Lepisosteus oculatus: one gene and its partners. The protein of the gene in region 1 purifies or fractionates together with the protein of each later gene. This does not show direct contact. Links are inferred from orthologs where the notes say so. Each region holds a gene or a part of one and is shown in the gene's direction. Other genes may lie near its edges. The genes, in order: tyrosine-protein phosphatase non-receptor type 14, stxbp4, pdlim7 and wwc1.

The links.
Region 2: the proteins of tyrosine-protein phosphatase non-receptor type 14 (region 1) and stxbp4 purify together in Homo sapiens (affinity purification with mass spectrometry; 3 studies listed by BioGRID and IntAct, counting the BioPlex papers as one, with this or other methods). This does not show direct contact. The link is inferred for Lepisosteus oculatus from reciprocal best matches to the Homo sapiens genes PTPN14 and STXBP4.
Region 3: the proteins of tyrosine-protein phosphatase non-receptor type 14 (region 1) and pdlim7 purify together in Homo sapiens (affinity purification with mass spectrometry; 3 studies listed by BioGRID and IntAct, counting the BioPlex papers as one, with this or other methods). This does not show direct contact. The link is inferred for Lepisosteus oculatus from reciprocal best matches to the Homo sapiens genes PTPN14 and PDLIM7.
Region 4: the proteins of tyrosine-protein phosphatase non-receptor type 14 (region 1) and wwc1 purify together in Homo sapiens (affinity purification with mass spectrometry; 7 studies listed by BioGRID and IntAct, counting the BioPlex papers as one, with this or other methods). This does not show direct contact. The link is inferred for Lepisosteus oculatus from reciprocal best matches to the Homo sapiens genes PTPN14 and WWC1.

Annotation. Positions count from the first base shown.
Region 1 is NC_090697.1:21,522,781-21,529,731, forward strand, and holds the start of tyrosine-protein phosphatase non-receptor type 14, read left to right. Parts: upstream 1-3,930; 5' UTR 3,931-4,427; intron 4,428-6,951. UniProt on the Homo sapiens protein: Protein tyrosine phosphatase which may play a role in the regulation of lymphangiogenesis, cell-cell adhesion, cell-matrix adhesion, cell migration, cell growth and also regulates TGF-beta gene expression, thereby modulating epithelial-mesenchymal transition.
Region 2 is NC_090704.1:38,283,959-38,291,716, forward strand, and holds the start of stxbp4 (syntaxin-binding protein 4), read left to right. Parts: upstream 1-4,744; 5' UTR 4,745-4,993; intron 4,994-7,758. Other genes in the region: cox11 (cytochrome c oxidase assembly protein COX11, mitochondrial), read right to left, coding at 374-529, 1,994-2,332. UniProt on the Homo sapiens protein: Plays a role in the translocation of transport vesicles from the cytoplasm to the plasma membrane. Inhibits the translocation of SLC2A4 from intracellular vesicles to the plasma membrane by STX4A binding and preventing the interaction between STX4A and VAMP2.
Region 3 is NC_090706.1:37,404,948-37,411,933, forward strand, and holds the start of pdlim7 (PDZ and LIM domain protein 7), read left to right. Parts: upstream 1-3,970; 5' UTR 3,971-4,074; coding exon 4,075-4,104; intron 4,105-6,986. UniProt on the Homo sapiens protein: May function as a scaffold on which the coordinated assembly of proteins can occur. May play a role as an adapter that, via its PDZ domain, localizes LIM-binding proteins to actin filaments of both skeletal muscle and nonmuscle tissues.
Region 4 is NC_090706.1:40,160,354-40,167,296, forward strand, and holds the start of wwc1 (protein KIBRA), read left to right. Parts: upstream 1-3,941; 5' UTR 3,942-4,988; coding exon 4,989-5,107; intron 5,108-5,205; exon of another isoform or gene 5,206-5,224; intron 5,225-6,943. Other genes in the region: arl10 (ADP-ribosylation factor-like 10), read right to left, coding at 632-769. UniProt on the Homo sapiens protein: Regulator of the Hippo signaling pathway, also known as the Salvador-Warts-Hippo (SWH) pathway.

The DNA of each region.
Region 1 (6,951 bases):
GTAAAGGACCTACACACGCACACATGAGTGCGTATACAATATACCTGTGTTTACAGTATTTCCAGCCCGGTGATGTTCTCCACTCCTCCTAGGGCCCCAACTCTCATTTTCCTTATACATTTGTTCGTTACCAAAACATTACCCACTGCACTAAATAGATTTTGCCAGAGAGGGCTGCTCGAAGGCTCTTAAAAATGCAGCTAATACGGGTCTCAAACACCCTTATTCTTTCAGTCAGCTTCCCTGAAACTAAAGACAATACTTTAGAAGTTCACTCTGGATATTAAATAAAGAGCTGTTGATAACGTTTGTGATCACTGGCCACAAACCCAAAGGTTCTCATCTCTGTTTATACTGTCTTTGTTGTTGGAGTATAGATTCTATGAGAAGAATTATTTCTCGACAGCTCCTGAACGCTATTTCTAACGCTGTATTTGAAAATAATTCACATTCTGTAATAGAGAGATAAAGAAAATATAGAATAAATTAAAAGTATTGGGGGTACACGGCTTTTGTATTGAACTTGGAAATAACGTTTCCTTTGTGAGCGAAGTCATAAACGAAAACATACGGTAGTGTTAAAGCTTCTTGCACCACATAATGGATATTTGACTGAAGACGAATACAACGAAACCATGGATTACAAAAAATAACTGAATTGTGTTGTATGTATGAATTTCTTCATATTAAACACTAATTGCATTTTCAAATTTTATGACACTACTGTCTGAAGCGTGAATATTGTTCGTCCATATTAGGAGAAACATTGAAATAAAATGAACCGGGCCATTACATAACTTGCGCATAGATATATCTTAAGAAGACCACAAGATGGCGGGGTTCAGCTATCTTTGCGACATTTTACAACGTTTTCTTTTGCCTAAACAAATCTCAGAAAAAGTTGAAAGCAAATTATAAGGGAAATGCTGCATTTAAAAGTGAAGGGACTCACTTTTAAAATTAAACATCAAATACCTCAAAGGCCTATCTACATAAAAGCATAAAATTGTTTCTAAAGACTAGAACAATGAACAGCCATCAAAGATTAAGGCCAGTTATCCCTCAAAGTTGAGACGTTTTGAAATCCTGTGTTTATCCAAGATTATTTACAACATATAAATACGTCTTTTTATCTGACCACTAAACAATAAACAAACAACAAAACTGACCAAATAAATATATATTTGATCAGGCCTATACAAGTTGAGTACATAAGCTGATTTTAGTGACTCTAGACACCTAAGGACTCTGTTTTGTCAATTGATAAACAAAACCTCAAGTCCAACACATAATGCCAACCTATCCTGTCCTATAGAAGTAAATTCAATCACCGGACCTCCAGGTGGTCTTCTGTGGTAGCTATGACAGTGAGAGGTGTCTATGATTGATTTCTAGAAATATTTTATGCTTCTTAACCCCTATGCGTTACTTTGACCCCACACATCTTAGGGTTTTTAATGAAACAGTTGCTAGTAGTGTACAATGGATGTGAATAATGCCATTGGCTAGAAATAGTTTTAGTTTTGAGTTTTAAAAGTAGCAGACTCTTGTACAAATTGCACAAAGAAAAAAATAATGTACATTTCATCATCTTAGTTTCACATCTCTAAGGTGTTCCGTTTAAATGGAAAAATGAATGGAGCCTTTAGTGTTCGTTCATGTACTGTATAGCAGCCTGAAACTTTAAAAACATAATCTTATAATCACTAATAGTTAAATTCAACAAGTTTTGAACTTCTTGCAAATTGTTTATTGTATAATAAGGTATAACATTCATAACCTTTTGCTGCTTGAATTGTTTGACTGCGCCCTGCAGGTCCTGGTTGCAGATAATACTGTATGTGCCTGTTTGTGCCTTGGTTATACCACTGCAATCAAGATTTGATTAGTTAGTATTCAATAAATTCCTGACAGCTACAGAATTACTGAAGACTTTGTGTGCTGAAACTGTTCTTCCTCCTAATTAATAGGAAGACTAAGCTAGGATTCCAGCTTCTGGAATGCAAGACTGACTTTATACTGCCAGTTTAAATTGTTAAAGAGGCTTCTGGACAGTTTTTTATTATTACTAGTAGTATTATTATTAGTATAAGTACTATTATTATATCCAGGGTGACTTGTTTTTTCAACCTATGTGCATGTACAAAAGGAGTAGATACAAGTTACAAAAAAGACCGAGTTCAATTCAATTTTATTAAAGGAAAGGACAATAAAACCAGTGTAGAAAGTGCAACTTGAGTACTGCACAAAATAAAATTTAAAAAACGTGTCCTGCTTTGGCTGGCAATTTCGAATTGGGAAATACACTGGGATTCTTTACAAAACAATCACAATCATATATCACTTACAATAATGGGTAGGCGATTTTTGGAATAACAGGGGACCCGGCAAAACCCGGCAATATGCTACAGGGGTCACGTCACATCAGTTTTCTTATGTCCATTCACAGTCACGAGAATGATTTTGTTGTGCTTAGGATTGAGAATGGTACCTTAATGGGTTATTTTGCTTCACTTATATCAGTTGTCTGTTTTTGCATTTTAAATCAACTGGGTTGTTGGTAAACTGGTGAAGGCCTTAAAACAGACACATGGGTCAAAAGAATTAGAAAACTCATCAGATGGAGTTGAACAGGGCTGAGCTACTGTGGGCCCGTTATGTTGTTATGAATCCTAAGCTGCTATGAAAAAAGCAAAAACACAAGTAATATTTTAGACACTCCAAACTGAAATCCATCTACAGTGTGTGCCTAACAGCGTATATATATATATCCTGTTGTTTATTTGAGCTCCTCAAAAAACACTCATTTAATAACATTGTATTAATATTGTTATGGAAAAAAATAGAGGTTAATTCAAGGCTGAAAAGTAAAGAAAATGAAGATATACTGTTCAACTTTTCAGCTGTGGGGGAGCTCTGTAACCTGAAAAAGTCCCAGTCCCAGTCCAAAGTCAGATTTCTTTGGGCTATACTCAGCCATTCATCTCTGATGTTTTTCTCATGCCTGGATTTTTTACATAGTATGGAAAGCTTGTGCTTTCTTGTGCTCCACTCGAAGGCCTAACAAAATTATAGTGTAAAAACTGCCTTATTTTTTATGCAGTGTTACAGGTTCAGAACTGTTTCTTCATTCAATCTTTGGCTTTGCAAAAAAAACAACAACAAAAGGCCCCAGTCATCAGTTGTAGGAGCAAGCTGTCGTAGTACTTAATGGCTGGACAAGCCAAGACACATACTGTTAAAGCTTTACAGAGTACATCAGAGGTACAAGATACTGTTGATTGTCGCAAACAGGTACTGGAAAGGAGCCTCAGTAAAATTCATTTTGAAACATTTGAAATTTGACGTAGGTTTGGCACTTGTAAAGCTTTGAGGGTAATCAGCAATACTCCATCATTCATGCTGAAATATTCAACATTACTTTAGCAATATGGGCTGGCTATGCAGTAATAATCCTTTTAAGTTTCAAGAAGAAATTGATTCAGATACACAACGAAAAGCTAGTAAAATACCTTAGAAGCCAAGAGAGGAGCTTGTGAATTTGGCAGTGATAATAAACTGGTTATAAGAAAATAATATAAAAATGTGATAGGAATATTATTTCCTAATACTGAAAAGTTCGAATTTAACAACATAATTGAAACGCCACATTAGTCTCCTAGTCTAAATTTCGTTTAGCCCGACGCAGTGGTGCATAAAAGCTCCGGTTTTTGTTGGAGTGTAAGTGCTACTGCTATAGGTAGCCTAATAAAGTGGGAAAATATTGAGAAAAAAGCTTGATACCTATGTAACACTCTTAACAACTTAAATAGAGATGACTTTTTGCTTCAGGCGCTCGCGTAGAAAAATCGCTTTTGAAGAATCTCGGATCTGGCCCTGTAGATTGTTCTTTGCATTGTATTGTCTCCCTCGTAAACCATTAAGAGAGCTCCCACTTTTTCGTTTGCACCACATTCCTGGGATTCCACAATTCTGATGTCAGAAGGGACGGCTCACACTTCTATCTAAACCTATACGCTTCTCGCGTCTCTTGGGTGATTTCGTGGTTTAAAATTATCATATTCTAATTTTCAGATTCACGGGGAAGGAGATCGCAAACTGCGGATTACTGGGCGAGTTTTAGGCATACGCGCGTTTTATTATTATTATTTTTTGGTACGGAAAGAAAACTTTGGATTTTTAACCTTGGAGTAAAAGTAGATTTGAAGGCTAGAAAGAACGTATTGAGTCTTGGTGTGGAAAATTATCCACATTTAAAAGTTTTAAAACGACTTTTCTTTATTTTTCGGAAAGAAGGATCTATGCACAGTAAAGGAATCTTTTTTGGGATTGTGGAACCAGTTTCAAACTTCAAGATTTGGATATACAGGATATAGTGGGATTCCTGCTTAAGGGAAACATACAAAGAAGGCATGTAACGAGTCCCGGTGGGTATTTGTTATTGTTTTTATTTTTTGGTCTTTTGTTACTTTCTAATAAACATCTAACTGCAGAACACTTTTTTTTCCTCGGCGAAGAACGAGTACACTCAATTAAGATTTTCCGGTTTTTGCTACTGCTTAATTTTCAAGGGAAAAGCCCAACACGTTAAAACAATGTTTCGTAGTTTATCGCGTTTTCCATAGCATATCGCCAGAAAAAGTAACAACGTTGAATAGAAAATATTGAAAACGTTGCATCTTACGAACAGTTTTCTCTGTTTCTATTTTTATAGCGTCGACATTATAGGGCCTTTTTTTAACAAAATACCAAGGAAAATACGACCTGTGCTTCCTTACACGAGGAGTAACGTGTAATAAACCATTTCCCTTAATACCTAAGGCAGAACATTTTTATAAATTCAAAGCTTAGCCTCATTACACGTGTTGTATTAAAAAAACACCGTCCCAAACCTTTCATTGGCGTTAGACGGAAAAATGGTAATTGTTAGTTATATTCCCTCTCCTTGCAGAATACCTAGACTGCAGTTTGTAGCCTACTGTTAGCAGTTGCTAACGGCTGTTACTTTATGCAAGTTAACTATACTTTAAAGATGAGATAAGATTTAACGTCAAACCATTCTATAAAGCAGCATTTTAAAGCACCTAATAACATCTTCCAAGTTTTTCTTGGTTTAGATGTTTGAATCGTTTCCTTTAAGGCTGCATACCGTAATCAAAGGAAATTAACATTTTAAATCTAGGCAAAATAAGTTTAATGAGCGGTGTGAAATAGCGTTTTGGGTTCTATACTTGATGTTTGTGGGTTCAGATACCAGGTGGGATGCTGTTGTACCCTTGAGCAAAGCATTTCGCTCAGATTGCTCCAATAATATTCCCCAAAGCGTCAACCAAATAATACTTACGTTTAAGACACAATAGTCAGTTGAACCTAAATCAGTTAATTAAATACAATTTCAAATAGAAGGTACCTGTACTGTTGTCTGGTTCTGTTAGTCACAAGGTAGTGTGACGTCAAAGGTTATGAAGAGGATAGCTTGTGTTTTTTGATTCTCTGTACTGCTTGCAGCAGTTGCATATGTCACAAACGTACCTGAAGTTCATTGTGTTAATAACATTATAGAGTTATGCAGAATAAGTTCTGAAACTTTAGGAGAAGGCAAAATATCACAGCAGAAACAAAACCATACCCCAAAGAAACTTTGAGATGTAGTTTTCAGGGTTGGGCTGAATCTTCACTTCTACTAGTTATTTGAATGTTTCTGATATATCTTTAGTGAATAGCAGAAACCAAGTGTGCCTAGTTGGAAAACGGTTAAAATGTTTGTGTAACAACTTAGTAAAAAATATTTATGCTTCCTAAACTTACCTGTTTTCACTACTATGCCAAAGGTCTGGACTTTTCCTGCAGAGAAAAAAAGTGATTTGCTAACCAATCTGGTATTCCTGGACAGAGAACCAATCCCTGATTATAAAATACTCTGACAATTTAATTATAATGGGTTGTTTTATTTACATGTCCATCCTTTCCTTTTTTCAACCGCCAGCACTCTGCTTCTCAAATGCTTTTGATGTTTGAAATGGCAGCATTGACTGAAGAACATTTAAAGGGGCCCCCCTGTTTCCAACATTTCGCTTGCCCATGTCCATCTCTCAGCCTGTGTAGTTCTCGACTGCTTTGACTGTGATCTAGGTTGGGTGAAGTCAATATCATACATTTTAAAATCTATTTGTTCTTTACGATCTGAAATTGTAGTCTGCCCGACTGTGTGTTTCAGTTTTGTTTCATTGTTCAGCCAGACATAAAAGATTCACCTTGTCATCTCTCTTTCTTCTTATTGCGTTCTGTTATACTGAAAATCTTTAATTTAGGCTTGTGTGATCAAAAGATTTATCTCACTTAGATTTTATTAGGCAAGTGAGATAAGCTAGGTAAATCAATGTGAATTTTGTGTTGATCATTTTAAGTCATTTACTCTGTTTAAGGCCTCAAGTTATTGTTCCTTTATAGAGCTTTGCCATGTAACATACCTTGCATCAGTCTGCAGAATTACAGTTTGATGAATGAGTTTAACATGCTGCTTCTCCTTCTTTTGTACATCCTGTTGTATGAGCTTCAGGTGTTGGCCTTGAGTCTTAAGTATTTTTTCCTTAGTCTCCTGTTTCTTTTTCCTTTTTTTGTTGCACTATGTTTTTTTGGACAGTTTTAAATTCTACAATGATTATGTTTTGATGGGATATTTCATTATGGACTGAAATACATGCCGAACTATTTCCCATTTGGATTAAATATTTGCATTGTCATTTATTATTTAAAATAAATCGGTGCAAGCTTTAACCTGGTAAATGTCATCTTAAAGAGAAAAGGTGACCAGAATTGACCAGAAAAATTACTGAGGTCAGTCTTTATGTGTAATACCTCCTTTGACTTATAGTTCAGGTGGGTAGCTGCGTCAGCATGCGTAGGCTGCAAAGGAACAAGTAATATTGTAGGTTTATTCCATGCTGAAAA
Region 2 (7,758 bases), on another chromosome or scaffold:
GTAAATTCCATTTATCGGTAAACTGTCTCAAAGTCAAGGGCAATATTTGTATTGGACTAAAAGAGATATATTCACAAGGCTGCTTGTTTACAATGTAATAGGGCCACAACACGTCACCAGAGGTTTACACGTCTCGTTCTGAATCGCACAACATGGCACTGCACATACTTGGAAATTGTCTTTTTTGTGATGTAAAGTGGAGGTTTTACAAGTTAATGTCCGCATTTTTGGTATGAAATACACTCATCAATGCTGATTCTCTCAAACCCCAAAACATAAAAATAGTGTTGCAGTTCCCCTTTAAACTGTCAGTTTCTCCTCCCATAGACAAGAGTTTGCTTCTTCTACTACACCGACCAGGTCTAATTCTTACATAGATCTCTGTTTGTTGAGGGCGGAAGTTCCACTGCAAGCTGGCGTGCACATCTGCATTGAAAGTGACTTTGATGACCCTCTCTCTTACAGGCTTCATTGTGGCAACGTGTTCTGTATCATGACCTGCCACTGCTGTCCCTCCAAGACCTGAAGCCTGCAAAAAAGGTTTGCACTCACTCACATGATCAATACAACCTCATTTCCCCTGTATGCTTTGAAAGGAATGTTGAGAAAGGAGGGAGATGTGACTGACTCAAGCATTTCGTTAAAATGATTTAAGTAATTGTTCCTTCAGAAATATTGCGGTATACAAATTTTTAGATGATCAAGATGAATATAGCTCATATTTGCATAGATATTTATAAATACACCTGTTGTAAACAGTTAAATACATCTTTGATTCATCAAAGTGTAGTGAAATATTGGTCTTGGAGGTCCAGTTAGGCTGCAGGCTTTCAATCCAACTGAGGTCTTAATAAGCTAAATCAGACAGTTACTGGTAACTAATTGAGCAGTCCTACCCAGCTCTGCAGGTGCTACTGCTTTGAAGATACCTAGAAACCTTGCAGATACAGTCAAGACCAGGATTAACAGACCTGATTTAAACTTATTTTTTACAATGGTTTGTGTAACGGCACAGAAATCATTTACAAGGTTTATAAAGATTATAGGAGCCAAATTGTATGCAATTAGACTGCAGCTCAAAAGTACCCAGCTGCAGTTCTTAAAAACATTAATCCTGCATATTTTCTAGGTTTCTTCAAATCATCCATAACTGAAGTCCTTTGAAAAGTGTAAAATTGGTCCAATTACAATAAAATAGCAGCTAAATTAGGTCAGTAAGAGACAAGGAGGAAAGAAAGCCTAGACCTTAAAATCATCATGAACAGGTCTTGTGTACCCATGATATAGCCTATTCGTTTGAATTTATCCAAGTGCACAGGTCTATGATCTTCAATTTCCCATATTTTTTTTTGTTCAATATGGCACATTGTCTGTTGTGCAGAAAATGCTGTTATTTAGACATGACTTATATTGACCAAATAGCTTATTAAACTAATTTCATGACAGAACATCAGCTTACTATTGTAAATTCAATTTACACAACTAATAAGACGCCCAAAATTGGTATGACGATGTTGTACATTCAACTTTAGGGGTCTTTTCTGGCAAGTGCCTTTAATGCTATCAGCAGGTAATTTGCCTCTCCATCATAATCAAAAGAGAACCATGACCATAAGATAATATGTTAGTGGAACAAAGTAATTAATACACAATCTCTTATGAACCATTATTGCAACAATTTGTATCCTATACCAAGACTTTCAAGCCTGTCATAATCTAAGAATGTCTACATGCTGCATGGTCTCAAGTTGGATCAGATATCCTTTGGTATAACTCTCATCCTATAAATCCTTACGCTACAAAGGGGAATACTACAGTTTACTGTATGTGCAGCAATAAACATTTTTAGAGCCAACAATTCCATAAAGTCCTTTAGGAACAAAAATCAGAGGAATGATAAACACAAGAGGCTTACGATGGAAAGATCTAAAAATAGACATCACATTGCATAGTGCAGATGCATGACTCAAACTGCACAATGTTCTCTGCTTGCCTGGCAGTACAGTCTGTAGAGAGGAACTGCAGCATAAGACATGCCAATCATGCCCACTCCAGCTGCTACAATGTAAGTCAGGATGGTCTTGTTTCTTTTCCTCCATTCTTCCTGCTGGTCCTTGGTAAACGGATTTCTATGGGCCTTCATTCCTCGAACCTGGGTTCCAGAGTGCTGGAGGCCTGTTTTCTGAGAAGGGGTGTGGTTTGGAGAGCCATGCTGACACCTTGAAGCCACCTGATTCTGAAAGGTTTTGTGATAAAGGCGACACTTTGACGTTAAAGCTGCCAAGTTCTCTGACCAGCAGAAGGACTTGCGGAAGAGAAGGTGCACAAGCATGTTGAGAGGTTTGTACGCTGCTATCTCTCTCGAGCAGCCCTTGGTCCCAGATTGCCTACCTACAAAACAAAAATCAATAAGGAGAGCCAATACAGCAAACATCTCCAGTTTTTTTTTCTTACTTCCGAATCCAAGTCGAAAATTAAAGTAACAAAATCAACTACATGGCCACCTATCAGTGCTGTTGTCATAGCAAGTGCATATTTTACAACAGGCAGTCATATCCTTTCAGTGAACCAAAATGTGCAAATAAGATAGCCGAGCTGTTAAATTTAGTTAAATTTGGTTAAATTTAACTGCTAGAGATTTTGCTGGGCATCATATCATAAAACCAAAGCTTTACATTTTGTATAGTTTCCCTCAAAGAGTCTTAACACATTGTTCCACTGCCATACACAGTGGGTGGTCAAAATACTAGGAGCCACCCTCCCTGCAAAAACAGAATGCTTTATTGTAATTTTATCTGCAAACGAGATAACTCACACACCTGTACCTGACATGACTGAAGGTGGGGAATACAGCAAAATAGGATACAACATTAGAATCGGCAAGACTAGTGAACTAAGATGCTTCAAAGGAGGTATATGGAAGCTAGATTAATTGATATATTAATAGCAAAGATCATGTAACTGTTAGAAAAGGTAAACACAGCAACAGGTGATCCAATAGCACTAGTAATGGAACTGACCCATTCATATTAAAACAAGACATGAACAGGAAACTTTGCCTACAGTCAAGTAGAGATTCTGAAAACTGATTTTATTCATTACAGGTTCTGACTGTAAGTACTAAGTTTTTGAGGTTTATAAAATTACATTTGGAGAACTTATAAACTTCCAAAATTATCCATTTTATATGGTTCGTTGAGTCCTACTCTCCTTTAAGGGTTTATGAAAGAAAGGTAAGTCAGCATGAAACATTTTCGTAACATAATAAAGGCATACAGCATAATATTACTAATGGTCTCACAAATGGTCTCTGTTATACAGTTGGAGGGATGAATCAAGCTAAAACACCAGTCATTCGGTCATCAAGAACACCCTATTAAAAGATTAGAAAGCCCATAGTAGATGACCAGCTTAATGACCCACACAAACATGGTGACCTTATTTAGATCTAAATAAAGTTGTGTTCCTGTTTGCTAAGACATTTACCATATGGTGCCTCTTGCAGGATTGAAAATAAGTTTAATTGGGGTGCTAACCTATATACAGCAAAGGCCAAGCCTTTTAACAGAACTTTTCTTGCAATCCATATGAATATCAAAAGATAGTTGCTACCTTTCAAACAGGTTAGAACTGTCCCCAAATATTCAGCCTTTCTATTTTTAATAAAAAGTATCACATTAGATGTTTCCTTATTATGCCATCTGATCTAAGAAGATTAGACCGTTTGCTTCAGCACTCTTCATTCCTGAGCTGATTTTCCTACTCAGTTCATACTGAACTCTTTTTAAAAAGCTTAATTAAAACAAGTTCTTTCATTACCCCTTTTTCGATACTCTCTATAAATATGGTTTCTTTCTGCAATGCGTGTTAGGACTGTTGCTCTTTTTAAATTTCAATGGACTGTACATTTTGTCCACTTTTACAATGTCCACAAACTGCACATGAAGTGCATTCTAAAACTACAGTAATAGCTTTTCATACCGAATGCGACAACAAAAAACGAGTTAATTCCGTTAAAATGCAACTAGATTAGTGATCAGGCTGATACGAATCACCCCTGGAGCAAAAATACATTGTAAAAAACATGTATTTCTATTAAAGAGAATCCTTGGTTTTCAATCAATAACGTAAACCAATCGATTCTTCCATTTTCTTTCCTTCGACGTTAATTCAAAGATTCAGTTCACAAACAAATGAGAACAATTCGTTTCTTTTTTTAATAGGTCAAGTAACTCGTATGTCCCAGAAACAGAAACGGCCAAACCAGGTAACAATACTCCTGATGAAATTGACAGCATTACGGGGCCTTACCTCCGATTGTAAAGCCACGAAAGCCAACATTTAATTCAAACCACCATTAATGCCACATTTTCCTGATTAGACACCTAAGTAAAAAACTAACAGCTTAGTTAAGCTCTCAGGGTCAAATCAATCGTTAAAATGACAATCCAGACAATGCAATAAATTGTAATCCATATTTTTATCCACAAAACTCAGCGTAATGGAAACATCCCCAGTTTTCAAAAATGTTAAATTGCATAAACCAAATACTAACCTGAGATACAAGATGTACCTAAATATCATAATATAACAAAGATAGGTTATTCAACAGTGTACAGGGTTTACGGTCCTACACGTTTAACTATTCCTCCTGGCACCAAAACTGGGGAACTATGGTTCCGAAACTCCTAACATAGGGATTGACCTTGTTCAAACTTTTAATGTGAATGGAAACGTAAAGAAATAGTTTCATATAATACTAGATGCCCCAAATATAGCTTTTATGAAGACGTGTATCTAAATCATTATCATATAAAGGAGCTCAATAATAAAATAGCTCGCAAAATACAGTTATTATCTACATGAATTTAACTTTCAATAATGACCAACAACAAAAGCAATTTATCGAGGCGCACACGCTTTTGTAGTTTGATGTTAAGCGCTAGGCAGTATGGGTAAATTAGTCGAAAGCGCTACTTATTAAACCAAAAAGGTAAGAATTTATTTTATCATGCATATATAGCAAGTCATTTCAAAATAACGGAAAGGTTGACTAAAGGTAGCTCAATTGTGTTTTCTTTGCAAACTCTAAGTTGCCAGCATTGCTACTGTATTTTAAAATTCATGGACAGCTTGAAAACTTGTTGAACAGACCGTATCAAACAGTAACATCTGAGACGTTAGTAACACCGTTACTATTGTTTGTAGTCAGTGCTGAAAAGTGAGCTCACATTTATCTTTTGGATATCTAGAAAAACGCTGCGGGTTTTGTCCATCGCGCATCTGAATTGAATTCAAAGTACTGTTAAATGCACAATTGTCGGAGTATTCGGAGGAATTTAATGAGTATCGTTGTTTCGTCCTTTTTCTCGAAACGAACGTAGTAGTTTAAACAGTAGTTTGATTTACTTTACATAAAACAACTATTCTGCTACGAGAACAACTTTAATTATATTAAAGGATGTACATCAGTTATACCGTGCGCATAATTGCCCACACTGTAGAAACGTAATCGAACCTATTTTATCACTTTTGTAAAGATCGCTACAGATGTTAAAATTAGGTGTTAAGTTGTGTAGCTTAAATGAAGAGAAGTTATTACAAAATATTGCAAGTTAACATTAACTGCCTTTTTAGATGACTAAGGGTGTTGAATTTGCTCGTAATTACTGGATACACTTGAAATTGGATGATCTGATTTTCCCTTATGTGCACAATTAATTTGTTGTAATAAACAGACTTTAATATTTTAGTTTTTATAATTCATATTGAGTATTGCTCAAAACAGTTATTTTTATTGATGAATAGTTTCCAGACTTATTTTTCTGTTCAAAATGTTATCAATGTATGAACTTGTTGCTAAACCGCAGTCCTGCACGGCTGTGCAGAAAAGCGTGTTAAGGAGCTCAGTACAGGAACAAGATGTCTTATATGTTATGAACAAAAAGCACCAGTTTCCAGATATGGAAGGTATGCAATATGTTTTCGTATTTCCGCCCGCTACGTTTGTGTATGCGTATCGAACAAGGACAAAGTCACATATAAGAAATATAATAGGCAACAAATAAACACACCTTTCTGTGTATGGGTTTGTGTATCTTATAAAGTAACTTATTTGGAAATAATTGAGTAACTGACCAGCCCTAACGTGGGCTCTGAGGAATGAAGACACAAGAAGAGGTCTGTTACATTATGTACCCCATACACGAATAAAGTAAAGACTCCCTGAAAAAGTGGATGTCTCTATAATTTATACCATTATGCCGTGGCATATGGAATCCAGCAGGTTTTCCACGTCGCTTTAAATCATCAGTAGCTTAAGACTGTTGAGAAGGGATAAATGGGTGCTTTGGTTAAATCTTAATTGGATCAACCATTTCCCTAGGTGTAGAGCCTGGCAGACAAAAGTATTCCACTGTTGATCTGCTAGTGTACCTTGAGAATGGTACTTTGCCTCAGTTCACACTGCTATATAAACAAGGACTAGCATTGCTGGGAGGGTTGATCCCTGTGATTGGACTGGTAGACTGTCCAGGCAGCAAAGTCTTGTGCTCTTTCCTCAGCTTAGAGCTACAGAAACCAAGATAAGCTTTGGCCCAATTATACCTCAGATATTGAACCAGCAATTACTAATAGGTACCCATAGTATTAATAGCTGGAGCCTGCTACTACTAAGTCTGCCGCCATAGATCTTATCTGATCTCAGTTCTCAGACTACCTTTGAGAATTGATCCAGTATTGTACATGTATTGGAAGACGGTCCTTCTTACCCAAGGGGACAGAACATCCACACAGACTTTACTAGGCCAAAGTTGTTGGCTCTGGAATGTAGGTCATAATCTGCCTTATGCTTACAGGAGTCAAGTGCTTCTAAGTAAACCAGTGCACATAGTCTAGTTGCTCCTGCAAGGTTGCTATAATCTGAAGACTGGCCATCCCTTGTTGTTCCCTCCTTCATGGTCTCCCAGAGCCTAGGTCCACCCCATGGTGTATACTGTAGCACTGTGCCAAACATCAGTTAGGCAGACCTCCCAGAGAGATTAGGAAAACAGTGGAGCTATTATCAGCTGGAACTGCATGCCTTTTGTGACTCTCAGGATATATGTGATATTCACTTATTCACCAATCTGGCCAGTGTTTACAATGACTGACATGGACAATTGCTCACTAACTACCATTCAAGGTGGCACACTCTCCCTGGGTGGCTCTGATGAAGGATGTAGCCTTGGACATTGGCTGTACTGGTTCTAGTGCTCCTAGTGACTGTCTATGAATGTGTGTTTTCATCTCCACCACCTGCCCTGCATAGTGTTGGTAAAGCAGTTCTCTGCTGCTCTCAGTCATTTTTCCTCTACTGTCCACCTGGTGGGTCTCTAATCATTTCGCTGTGATGACACCAAAAAAAGAAAGACACACAAAACTGAGAACTCTATTATACCTTGCATGTCTAGACTCTCTTTTCAGGGAGAGGGCTCACTTTTTCTTCCCCTCCAGTACATGGTTCCAAACTCAATCCTTTCTGCCTGTATGAGTAACCATGGTAACTCCATGGTTCAACACTAAGGCCCTGCCAGCCCTCGCCCTGATAAAAAACCTCATCACATCCTGACTCACTCATCCTCCATGTGTAGTGGTCTCCAATTCTCATAGTTCAGTTCCTCTCTTCAATTAATAATTTCTACAGTATAGTTTCAAGTTCTTTTGCCAATTGGGTTAATGGATATTGTAGTTTAAGTATTTTGTTCTGTGGTATACAGT
Region 3 (6,986 bases), on another chromosome or scaffold:
AACACCATCTCACGCCTCCTCTTTTAACTTCAATAACTGGAGGGGCTGGAGATTAATTTTGTATATTTTGTATCGAATACAGAAAGTAATATTCCAATACACGGAAATAATCTAAGGGTGACATTCTTTCAAACACCCGATGTTTTTAGTTCTGGCGATGGTAAAGTGATCTCCTCTTCTGCATTACTCCCGGTAGCCAGGAGATGGAGACAGCACAATACAAAATGTACAAAAAAATGAAGTTCCGCAAACTATTGATCTTGATTTTGTTACAGTCATATAGAGCCCAGAGCCTCTGGGCGTTTTTGTACTGAATTAAGTTGTTCTGAAAATAGTCATGTACATAAATCTACATTAAATACTTTTCATTTCTTTCTTTTAACAAGTACATGAAGGCATACACGAGATATGTCTTATGTTTAGCCCGCTGTTACAGAAATAAAATACCGTATCCTAAAGGTACCCGCTGAGCTATGAATAGGAAACAATAAGCAGATGTTCTAGATGTCTCTAGTCATGTCAAACAGCGAAGCCAAGGTTTGATTTGTCTATTGGCCATGATGAAACCGCTGAATTTTTGTCTCTATTGATTTAACATGTTAGAATGGGTTTTATATAAGATGCTAAAAATTCAACAACACTGCGTTTCAAATTGTGAGTGCATTTAGAATTCAGAAATAGTGAACGACCTTAAGTTCAAGTGTACTCCCAGTTGAAATGATCGGTTTTCTTTTTGAACAGTTTATTGCCCTATACCTACAGGAACTAGCTTGGGGTGAAGATTGTTGAAACTAATTGAATACAACTTATACAAAATAAAGATGCCATTCGTTATAATTTTTTCAGAACACTGGGAATCCTCTCCGTTGCTGCACATTTTAATGTTTTGATTCTAAAAAAAGTAGAAAGTTGAACAATGGTTAATTTTTGTTGCACGGCAGCCGCTATAATCTAGAATGCAGTTCAGTTGCATAGGTTACTCGGAGCCCTGTTTATTTAAACCTATCATTCGCAGGTTAAGTCGCTTCTGTAAAGCGCATCAAGCTAACAGCTCTCTCGTCTACTCTCATCATCTTGATCGTGGGTGTGCAGGAGGGCATTGGGACCCTATAGTTAACCAGGGATGGAAGAATTGACTGCACCCTACAGCTGGATCTGTTGGAGTGCCTTCTAAGGAGCTCGGAAATGTTCAGGTCTCTCACAGAGTGCTTTGGTCCCTAGACCTGAGCCTGGAGCACTTAGCTCTGTTGTTCACGACACTGTTGTTTTTTTATGCAGCATACCTCCACTGGGTCATAAAGAACAGTAATTGTCCATAACCAGGATTTGTACTTGCTTCCATGAAAGGCATCAAAGGATGTTACCATTTATCCCCAAAATTGACAAAAAGGATGACGTCACAATTCTTGGAGAAAGCAACAGCACAGCAGCAATAATTTCAACCAGCGTTTAGATAGCAGCTGTGTGCAAAATTCAGCTGTGGCAGCATTTTCAGTTTCAGTGCAAAGGCAAAAGGCAGTGCGGAATCACACCTATGGCTAAATTTCCCAGAAGTCAATGAATCTACCAGTATGTGTTTGGATTGTGGGAGAAGACTGCAGCACCCGGAGGGGGAACATACAAACTCCACACAGATAGCACCCCAGGTCTGGAATTGAACACAGGACTCTAGTGTGAAAAGCCAGCAATAACAAACACTATGCCACAATGCTGCCCTAAATATTAAGAATTATGCAAACAGTTTTCCTACAACACTACGTTTCTAGCATGGAATAACAATTGTTCCTTTGGACGCACCAAGTGGAGAACTATATAGTGTAGTGATTCCTGAGATTTTTTTTAAATTCTACATTGTTTGTCTTTTCTTGGCAGCCATGCTTAAATCTACATAAACATTTCCTTTTCAGAGAGCCGGCTTGTTCCATGCTTCAGGTTAGTGATAATTAGGTAGATTCATTCCTGCAGCTTTTTAGATCTGTGATCTCCTTATATGGGCACTTTCTAGCGCACAGAAAAAGAACTCCGCTAGACCTGTATTGAATAGTTTTCCTGTCTGATAAAGCATTCTTCAGATCAAAGACCTGTGTTCAGCACATAAACAAAGATCAAGCAATTCCTGGTTCAAAGAAACATTTCAAAATCTTGATTTGAAATAAATCTGGGAATTCCAAAGTGTGACTTGATTTTTCTTGGGTTTTATTTTCTGCGGTTCGTTCGTTCGGAACCGATTCGTTCCAGATTTTAACATGTTTTTGGCCCAAGGAAGAATCTGATTGTTTCTGTTGCTTTTTCATTAGTGAAGCTGAAATGTGTTTGATGTTTTGTTGTAGCAAACAGCTCATTAATTTATTTTATATCAAAGAGGCAGTGGTGTTAGTAAATACAGTACACTATAGATTGATTTGAACTCTGATAATATTAGGTATTTTAGTTGATGAACATGAGGAGGAAATAATCTGGCAAAAAATGGATGCTCAATTTTATTTTCTAGGTACATTTTTTAAGAACAAAAAAAAAACAGACTTCACTGGAGTTTAACTCAAGGCAGCAAAAGAAAACATAGAGCTGCATTTCACCCAAAGTAGTCTTCTGTTCACTGTCGGATAACTGACAAATGTTTGTTACCTGGGAGGGCTTTCTGGCAAGTGATGAGGAAAGCTGTATCTAAAAAAAGCACGCTTCGGAATTTTTATAGGAATGATTCTGTATGCATAAAATACATAAGCACCTTTAAAAGAAGTTACATAATGAACTAGTGGCAGAGGATAGTGATTAAGGTTGTGGATTCATACTGTAACTAGCTTCTCCCTGCGCACACTGGTATTGTATCACAAGAACATAACAAAGGAAAAGAAAGGCGGCCATTCAACCAGTCTAACTTGCTTGGCTGCTGGTTGGAGGATCACATCCGACTGCTTTGTGAAATAAGCCAGGGTCTTCGTCGGCTTCAGTGACATGAACTTTCCAATAATTCCTACCGGTGTCCTTATATTCAAATACTCCCCTCTTGCTTCTGAAGACGTCTGTTGGGTTGGCTTTGTCGTGGTCTTTGGGGGCTCAAAATTTGTGAATCACATTGTTCCTTCTTCTCTGTTCAAGACTAAGAAGATTCAGTTCCTTCAGCCTGTCAGGGAGGGACAGTTCCCTGAACCACAGGAATGTGCGTGGTTGCTCTTTTCTGGACTGATTCCAGAGCACCGTATTGTCTTTTGTATTGCAGTGACTGAAGTATTGTGGTCAACGCTGCTCTTGCCAAACAGCAGTGGAGTTGAATTGGTTAGGGTGTCATGTTATTATACAGAAATGATGGAAGATCAAGACTAACAGTAATACATCATTTATTTATATAGCGCCTTTCCAAACCCCAGGGTGCTGTACATAGTGATAAAGAAAAGCACAATAAAAAGTAAAAGAGAAAAGTAAACAAGAGCATTCGGGTTCGTACAGAATAAACGTGGGTCAACGTGGTTTGGGTTTGAAGACATTCAAAGAATTTTAAATTTACTGTAAATTGTAAATGTAAAAACGTTCTGTATTGTTAGCAAAAAACCCAAAACAAACATTTGCTAACACTACAGAAATCAACTGGGATCCCGAAAGCTAAAATAAAATGCCAACATGACATTTCAGCTGGGTTCAGGGACATCATAAAACCAGCACTCTCAAGTCGATGATTAGCATGGGGGGTCATGGAAAAGTCGAGCGCTGCAAATTATACACCACTTTTATTCCGCAGCTGGGATTCGTCGAGCAAAACGATCTAGGTGCTTAGTTGTAAAGACGAGCTGGCTGCAGGTCAGACGTGTGTGTTGAGCGGCGAGATGGGAGAGCGCAGCACCGCGCAGCGCATCGCAGTCCCATGCCAGCTTGTACCTGTAGATGGAGCGCGGAGAATTCGTGGCAGCGCTCCCAATGACGTCACCCGGGCTGTAGGTTTTTCCTTGTCTATAAAAGGAAACAGAAGGCAAGTTTACGGCTGCTCGTGGATACAGTTGGACTGGCTTACAAGGAAAACTTAGCACATAGTAATTAACTTTTTTAAAGTGCAAAGATAAAAAAAAAAGATCGTTAACGATGTCCGCCAGCCAGAAAGAGGCTCCGGAGGTAACTGCCATATAACACGATTGCTTTTGCGAGTTACACAATATTTGTGTTCTGTTCTCATAAAAAACGTTTACATGGCTCTGGTAATATCTATACAGTAAAAGTTTTTTAATGGAAGTTTTGTTTGGCGTTGGCGTTTGGAGGCGGAGAAGAGGGAGTGGTCCACTCTTTTCCTAATTCAACTTTTTGTAAATTGTTCTTTTAAATTTTATAGGGCAGGGTGCTCAGAGATTGAATCCTTCTGCACAGACGAGATGTGTTTTCATAAGGACGTTATCTGCGGTTTTTTTGCGTTTAGACCTAAGTAATCAAACGCGATCTTTGCAAGTCTGAGCAACGCTGCGTGGATAATTTGGGTGGGTCGAGATTTGTGATCACGAAAGCTTCTTGAGAGTTTCCTTTTGTAAGCTGGCTGTGAATCCGTTCGTGTAAAGGCGAATCAAGATCGTGCACTTAGCATTTTTTTCAAGTGCTAAAAGAGCGGATATTTCATGTTCGTGGATGTTAAGTTATGCTGCGTTTTTTTTAAGTTGGTGCACACATTGTCCCAAAATAAACGCACTGATATCATTTTGAATATTATTCAAATAGTTTTAATGTGACAAGAAAAGTGTCAATTTCTGATTGCATGCCAGCAAGCAAACGTTATGTATTAATCGAGATCTCCTCTATCGTTTCAAGAATTGCTTAGCTATTTGCTTGGGTCAACATTTAACCTGAAATGATCAAACACTCGTCAGGTCACCGATATTATTTGTTAATGTCTTTTTTTGGGGGGGGCTGTAAGTGATGTGGTTTTGTTTAGTATCTATATTGCTGTGGTTAAGATGTATGAAAAGGAATAGATGGTACTGTATATAATTGTCACCCCCCTACCAAAAAAAGTGCATTAGTGTTTTTATGGTGACGTCGATCAAAAATAAAGATCTAAAGTCCTACAGATTCAATATATGAAACGTGACAACACTTTCATTGTTGTCCGAACCGAGCAATGTAAAACTTCACTAACGAACTTGGAATTGCATTATCACCTTAGGACAGGGCAGGTGTTTTTTTAGCGTTAGTGCCCTCTGAAAAGAGAATCTCTTTCTGTATTGTATAGATCAGCGTTATTTTGTGTAATGCTTTATCTTGGAAAGATATTGCGAATTCTGTGAATGGCATTCTGTTCTGAAATAGATCTTGGTATATGCAGGTATGCTAACCTGATTTTGGTCATTTATCCGCCTCACAGTTTTTTAACGTACCCATTTATACAGTGAGGTATTTTACTGGTGTAATTTGAGGGGTGTACTTTGCTGATGTTTACTTTATAAGTACAGTAGTGCCTCACCTAGCCTTGAAATCCATATACATTATATTGCTGTAAACACAGAGCATCAACCTCTACTCCATACAGCTGCCTGTACAGTTTTCATTTGTAATTTTCAGACCAGAGGTTTTTTTTTATTATATCCTAAAAATGTAGGAATGTAGAATTTATTCTTGGATATATGGGAGGTCCCTTCTACCTCGTAAACATCGCTGAATGCCTTGTCCTCAGTGGTCAAAGCTCTTCTCACATTTTTGGTTCTACATTACTGAGGTTAAGTGAAAATCAATGCGTTTCCCTGAGCCCGACAGCTAATCAGATCTCTGTAACATGGTCAAGAAACACTACCATGCTACATGCCAATAGTGTATTTTACAAACCTTCACTCTCCTGACCTACCCTCGCTCACAGTTTTCTGAGTTTGACACATATGAGGAAAGGTTTTCATGGTTTAACACACTAGCATAGTGACTGCAGAAGTGTGTCAGAAAAGTCAGCTGGAGTTGCGGTGAGTATTGTAGGTTTTAAGGCTCAGCTACAGAATTTCTCTCGTGTAGAGGGCAGTTCCAATGAGTTTTTGATCTGGACCATGTACTGTGTTGTGGGTGTGTGTGCATGTTGGTGTTCAGCTGGTGGTACTCTTGGCATTAGTTGCACCATTCTGTAGTGAGAAGACGAAAATTGCTTTTCATATAACGGCTTACTGCTTATAAAAATATAAGATGTAATTGTGCTAAATCCTTTGGATGTCTTTTTTTTTTTTGTCTGACCTTTATGAAGCCTTTGTTGAAAGAGGGTTTTGCCATGTGATATATATATATACTACTGTTGAATTAGCCATTTATATTTGAAAGGAATTGTGTACATTGGACTGTGTTATTTGACACTCATGCTAGGAATGTTGCAGGGTATTGTTCTTCCATCTGCATAACATTGATCAGTTAAGACCCTTGTTCTACCCGTCTGATGCTGAAATATTGAAACTCGCCTTTATTTGATCAGACTACCGTAATTCCTTAAATATGGGGATGTTTGTATGATATTCTAAAAGGGCTCGTTATATCCAGAACTTTGTGGCTTGTCTGCTTTTTGAAAGTATTCTACTGTACGTCAATGCTAACTCCTGTCCCCTGTGAATTGAACTTGCTGCAGTCTGCTGATTTGGGCTTTGCCAACGTATTCTAATGAAGATCAGGATCGACACAAAGGCTAACTTGAGTCTTTTTCTTGTGTAGTATCACATCTGTGTGAAGTTTCAAATGCAAATTTATATGTACATTTTGCAGGATCAAGTAATTGAAGAAAACGGGGTCAGAGAGCAGTCCTAGTTTTTCAAGGAACGTTGCAAATCTCAAGCACAACCTCTTGAACGTTCGGCTGTATATCAGTTGAATTTGTAGGGATAATAGGAGCTGTTTTAAGGAGGCACATGCTAATGAAATCAATTTATATATTAATTTCCTAAATACTTAGTCGGAGATTGTCTGGGACCTGTAAGAAAACTTTGTAAGCACATTCTGGGTTCAGCTTCAGAACACAATCAGCCAGGTAAGAAAACCAGGACAGAAAA
Region 4 (6,943 bases), on another chromosome or scaffold:
GTCCACGCAAACCCCTTTCCAGCCGTGCTGTCTTTGCAGAGGGCAGAGAGCAGACCCGTGTCCTGCCCATCGCCTGACCAGGACACATCGTTTCCTTTTCCCTTCTCCGGTCTTTTCCTGGCAGCCTGCTTGTGACCAGCGCCGAAATCAGGAAGTGAATTCCCTTAGTGGCGTCTTAAGAAGTAAAACCTTTGCACCACGCGAGAGCAATGCACACACACGCACGCACGCAAGCGTGCAGAAGAGCAATAAACGGGGCGTCCTGGGTCGAGGACAAAACAAGGCTTTCGCACAAGCGAGACATTTAGGGATCTGGTTTGAACAACGCGCCTTAAAACGACACCAATGTGTACCCCAATGTGTTTTGCTACCCCACGTCTGTGCACGCACCTGCCTCTCTCTGGTGACAGCACATGCACCAGCTGGCTGTCGCGGCAGAACAGACGGGAGATCACAACTGAAACGACACGTCACGACGTTATCTAGATCCTTTACAAAACGAACGCTTAGGGCTACGAGTTCGCCCAAGCAGCCGGGCGGGCGGGGACCTGCAGACCCCAGACCCCAGCAGATCCACGGGGGGTAGGAAGAGGACGGGATGCGACGCCTTTTCCCTTTTCGCAAGGCTCACCTCTGGGATCCTGTAGTAGTCCATCTCCGGGGACCAGACGCGCCTGCGGTAGAAATAGTTCCAGGCGATGAACAGCGCGGAGCCCAGAGCCGCCACCGCGGCCGTCAGGGCGATGGAGATGCGCCTGAGCAGCACCATGTCTCCGCGGCGCGACGCGCGGCATGAGCCGACAGGCCAGCAGGCTGGGTGACCGGGTTTTAAAAAAAAAAGAGAGAGAAAGAAGAAAAATCAGCACATCAGCCGAGACACGTGACCGAGATAAAAAAACTGCTCGCCCAGCACACGCCCGTCCTATCGCCGCTCAGAGGCGAGCGACACACGCTGACGACACTTGGAAGGGAGTGACCTGCCTGCAAACTGGCTGAAGTTTCGCACAGGAATAAAAATAATAAAAAAAAACTTGTTAGTCCAGCGTGGTCCTCCTGAATCCAGAGTGAGTGTAGCGCATCTTAAGGACCTACCCTCTTATTAACCGGTGGTTTCGGATCTCCTGGGTTCGGGTATCTTAGGGTTTCAGGTTTGCCGCATGAATGAATGTTAGACACTTGAATGCGAGTCTCTTCCTAATTTTGAGTTCTCCCTCCCAGCGTTTCACTGTGCAAAGGCAGTGCTTCAGGAAATACTCGCAGACATACGACGTTTTGCGTTTCGGTAACTAGCAAGGCAAAATCGTGGGCTATTTTTAATTTTTAGCTTAAGGGTGAAGAACTATTTCTGAAACGATTTGTTTTAGTTTTTTTTTATTTAATTGAGGACGGCTGCCAGACGGTTAAAGCTGAAACAAGTCCTCTCACATCGGCCGGCCGGCCAGTCCGGTCTGAGATCTCAGCCGAGGACCTTCAACGCTGGCGCGACCTTTTCTCCAGGCGACGTTGGTGTGGAAAAACGTGTTGGGAGTCGACCATCTCTACACCCTGACCAAGACTCTACAGACTCTTTGGTTGCAAATAATTCCAACACTAAACACCAGCGCGCCGGCACCAGGCATATATCAATACTGCTCAATAATTTATCGATGTCACTTATTTCCCCTGCACATTAGCGAACAGGGGGGCAGCAGAGAAGACACACAGTGGTCAGTGCAATCGCTTTATATAACCTGTTATTGGGTGTTACTAACTAGGGCGAAGCAAAGGGGAATCAAGCAGCCGATCACACCAAGAGACAACAATATCGTTTTCTACGAACTCGTTCCGTTCTGCCGTTCTGTACACCTTTATAAGACCATATAAAAACCGCTCACCGCATCCCTGCAACGACGAGTCGCTATGACTTCGGGGCCAATTTCGGAAAAAAGGCGAATTTCTATTAAAAGGACGGATGTTCATAGGTACAGTAATTGGAATTATTCTTCATTATCATCATTACTATAACGAATGAAATCTTTCGAGTCCCCCCCAAGGCAAAGATTGCTTTCAGGAAGTAGGTACAGCCGATAGATGGTGCTGTTTAATTATTATTAATTAACCTGATTAACGCTTTCGCTGTGAGAGGTTTACACTGACACCAGTTAAACGGATGGGATGGACTTGAACAAGCAGGTCACAGCTCCTTACTTCAAAGGATTTGAACCCACGACCTTGCATGCCGAACATCTTTCTTTGAGGAGCCTCTGCGCAATACAGCCACCTGAGAGCTCGCATTAACAGCTGAGCGCAATACAGCTGTGGTGACATGGTAAAGCCTCACAATGCAAATATTTGTCATGTATTCATGCTCCGTTATTGTGGGAATCTTAAATCGTTTTCTAAACGAGTGCTGCGTTACCCTGTGTCCGGAAAAAAAAGTACCCATTCTGTCAATCCATTTTCAATAACCGCTTACTCCAATAGGTCACTCATTCATTAGATCTAGTAAATGCTGTCCAGGACAGGGCTGTGGTTACTCATTAATAAAGTGTGGTAAAAGTTCTATGTTAAACAACTCTTATGTGTCAGTTATTATTCGGCTGTCTTTACTGAACTCCTGGCAAATACAACTGGAGCGTGGGCGTCAGGTCCTATATTGTAAACCAGCAGATTCACAGTTAGAGCACAGCTACCGCATATCCATTGACAGACACGGATAGTTCCACCACAGCAACAGATGTCTGAGAAAATCCACAAATGAAAAAAAAAACGAATCAATTTCTCTTCCGACAAAATCAATACGATGTGTGTGCTGATTTCAAGAAACCCGTGTTTTTGTTAATGTATCGTTAAGAAGTCGTTGTTTTTATAATAGGTTATCGCTGTACTGTTCAGATGAAATTAAAATGTAACCAACATCGACGTTTGAACACGAAGTGTTTTGGGAATTGAGCTTTTTAAAGGTTGATAAGTGTTTGTGGCAACAAAGTTACTTTGTATTTTGTGATCCGCAGGTGTGTACATATTTATTCACCATGCAATATTGTAACTTCGGGCGTATTGATGTCAGCGCATGAATTTCGCAATGGGTCGCAAATTGTAGACACGCAGCTGAAGGAGGCGCAGCGACATTGCGCTTCTGCTTTCTGCTGTTCAGTCTGAAACTAACCTCTCCTCTTCCTCTTTTGCACCCCTCTCACGGTCACAGATCTGTACATACGCTCCGCGGTTTATTCGTTGATGCGAATTTCAGCTCAAACATTACTTTCACATTCGGACGCGAGGCCTAGTGATCGGGTCTGCGCGATGTTATGGTATCAGGTGCCGGACAGGGCGCTGTAGTTGTTGTTGTTGTGTCCTCTAGCTAGACATTTCGCCCAATTATCCCCATTTTGCACGTACAATATATACGTCTAGAAGTAAATCACTTTGCATAAAAGTGTAATCAGATTAAATGGGGAAAAAAAAACACTTATGCCAACTACACATTATTTCTCAAATTCCCTTCCTTGGACTGTTTGAGATGACACGATTACACGCCCTTAAAGGGACCACGGAAAGTCACGATTAAGCGACGACCGTCGATTTCGTGGCATTATTAATTTTTCAGCAGAGAGTTCTTCGGACGGTTGGACTAACACCTTAAGCTTTTCGTCGGTATACCCGTTTGCACCCTGATTATATTCCAGGTTTAATCATCGCCGCGTCTGCAGAACAGAGAGATTATAAAGGCGTTATAAACAATAAGATGCCAATGGGCTCACAAACATTTTACAATAATGAGACATTTTTCCATGCTTTATTATTACCTCACCAAAAAAAAAAAGGGTCCCGATGATCGGCATCCCCAGCAGCTGTTATAGCGTACCCTTATCTTTCCATGATTACGGCGCACATTGCAAGCTACATCTATTAGTGTTATTACGGTAATCACCTGGATGACGTAACCCTACCCGCAGCATCACGACAGTGAGAACCAGTACACAGGGAGGCAGGGACACTGTCCCTTTAAGAAAAACATTTCCCCCCCCCCCCGTGTGCGTGTGTATTTTTTAAAAACAGAAATCAACAATAAAGCTAACTGACGAAAGCGCGTTGTCGGCGAAAGAGTGGAGCTGTTGGACGAGGCACAGACGGGCAGGAAAGCCGGGCGATGCCCATCTGGAAAGCGCTCTGAATTTGCGGCGTGGAGAGGAGGAGGAGGAGGAGGAATATGGTGGCCACGGCAAACTAAAGGCAGGTTTTGGACAACATCGAAGCCAAGCCGCGGAAGGTCGCACCGGGCAGCGATGGAGTGGCGGCGAGCGCCGGGGGACTGGGAGCTGCGCTGGGGGACTGGGAGCTGCAACTGGCGGCTGTGCCGTGACCAGTGAGCCCTCCGGCGGGGGAGGCTGTTGTCCGCGCCGGGATAGCCGAGGCGCATGGAGTAAAACGTGGGTCCCGCACCGAGGGGAGAGTGCCGTCGGACGAAATACTCCCGGCCGAGGCGATGCTGGATAATCCGCCCGACAAAGTTTTGAATTGTTGACGGGAATCGGGAGCGGAGGAAGACCCCCCCCTCGTCCCCCGCCTCTCCCACCCACCCGAACCCCCGCCGTGTTGGGGGGCACAAGATAATCATCTGGATTTTTTTTCCTTTCTCCCCTGCTGTTGGGTTAGCTGTCGCTTTTTTTTCGTTATTTTCTACCTGCGTTTGGAGAACTCATAGCGGGGGGGAAGGGGGGAGAGATCGTTCGTGAAATTAACGAAAAGAAAGGAAAAGGCGCATCAATACGAATTATTACTTGCTGGAACCCTAACTTTTTTTTTAAAAAGTGTTGACAGGTCGCTTGCTTCACCTGTTCCATCGGGAGGGGGGCCGTTCACATTGCTGTCTGGACCGTGTGCTGTGTCGATTCCTCTCAGGTGTACCTTTTAACGGCATCTTGTTTTTTACACACACACGCAAAAAAAAAAAAACCCACAAAAAAAAGGCATCCAGAACAAAATTACATGGAGACTCGCCTGACATGCCGAGGAAGGAGTTACCATTGCCGCAGGGTTGGGAAGAAGCCCGGGATTTTGACGGGAGGGTTTATTACATCGACCACATCAATAAAACGACGAGCTGGATCGACCCCAGAGACAGGTAGAGATCGGGCAGGAGGGGGGGATCCACAGCACCTGCGTGTAAGGAAACCCGGGAGACAAAGTTTCCTTTCTTCTGCCTGTGCGCGGCTACATTACCTGCTACTCATAAGCCGCCGCTCCGCTTAGAAAGTTCAGTGGCTTTGGCGCCGGGGATCCTGCGCTAGCCGCCTCACGGCGAGGGAAAAGGATTTGGGATTTTAGAGGGCTAGCTAGGGTTCCCGACGTTCAAATCCGTCTGTGGGTCTCCCCTTGTCTATACCCACCCCTTTCTGCTTTCTCCTCTCTCTGGTGATTTTATACCTGACCCGCCGCACGCCAGTTTTTATTATTTTTATTATTTATGTTCTCAAGAGCAGATCAAGTGTTTCATGAAACGCAGATAACGCTCGTATGCAAAAAAAAAAGTTGCAGAAAAAGCTCGGTACTGAACCGTCGAGTCGTTTCTCCCTGACGAACGAGGCAGAGTTCCGAGAGTCACGGCGAGGATGACTCGGACGTGCAGTATCGTCTTTCTCGTTTGTAGAAACGTGAGCATTGGAAAGCAGGTGCAGTCGGGGCGGAAAAAAAAAGTCCTTGCTTTCCATCCTAGAGTGAAAATGAGGATGGCACGGCGCTATTGCATTAGTGGAGGGGAGTTTGAAACGTAAAGTCATGTTTTAAAATGATTAAAATCCTAACGTTGGCTCCAGTATCAGGACAAGCAATTAAGGGAATTATAGAAGCTTTGAATGAGCAAATGCTTTCGAGTGGGGATGATTTAAGGTGACTTTGTTATCGTTTAATCCAAAGGTTTGCCATTAGCTCTGTGGTAGATATGTTCCAAAATTTTAAAAAAATGCCGATCATTTGTAAAGAAGTCACGAATAACAGACATTTTGTCATTTGGAGTATTTTGGAGGGGCCTTCATGAGCTGAACTAATGAAATCAATTGATGAAGCGGACGATATAATCAACTTTATATTGTTTTTTTTAATTTAAAAAGCCAAATAATTCAAAGTTAATGAACTGATGTTTACGGTCCCGACTTGACATTTTCTAGAATGTATTGTGCTCCAGAAAGCCTGGCAAGAGACGTGCTGAAAGTTAGAACTTCATCTCATGAGACACACTGTAAGATAATTATTTTAGCTCTAGTTGGTGGTTTATTTCGGTCTCGTCCACAACCGTTGTTTTCTGTTTTATGATTGTTGCCCTGCACGAGGGGTGGCGCATCCGGGTCCTCGGGCCCCGGCACCTCGAGAGCTACACGTCACGTATTACCTGCCAGGTCTGAAAATAAAAAACATACTTTAGTGCTGTGTTTTTGTAGCAAGTAAACGTAAGATAAGTTTTAAAAATACAAAGGGACAACTAAAAGCACATGGGATGTATTCAGTTTGAAACATTGTCTTTAACAACAACAACACAATATTTTAAATCCGTAATTCTTCTAAGATTACTAACACATTCCAGGTTTCACTGGCGTACTACAAGATCCCCCACAGAAGTGGTCTGAATTAACACCTTAATCCAAAGAGGTGCGCTTGTGCTTTTATTGCTACTCAAGCCACGTTTGAAATTCTGAGAGTGCCGGACGCCGATGCGAGGCTGGGTTTTATTGCCCGGTGGAATGCAAGAGGTCAGCCTGGTCTCTAGGATACGGGAAGGGCAGAAGCGTAAACACGCACCCAGAGCCGCATTCCTAGAATGCATTTCACAGAGAAGGGGGGGCGGACGGAAGACAGGGTTGCGCTGAGCTGAAATTAAGTGCTTAGGTACATAGCCATTAACCGCCATTACCAGACACTCCCCATGAGCAGAGCTGAAGCGCAGGACGTACTAGTGGGCCAGGTC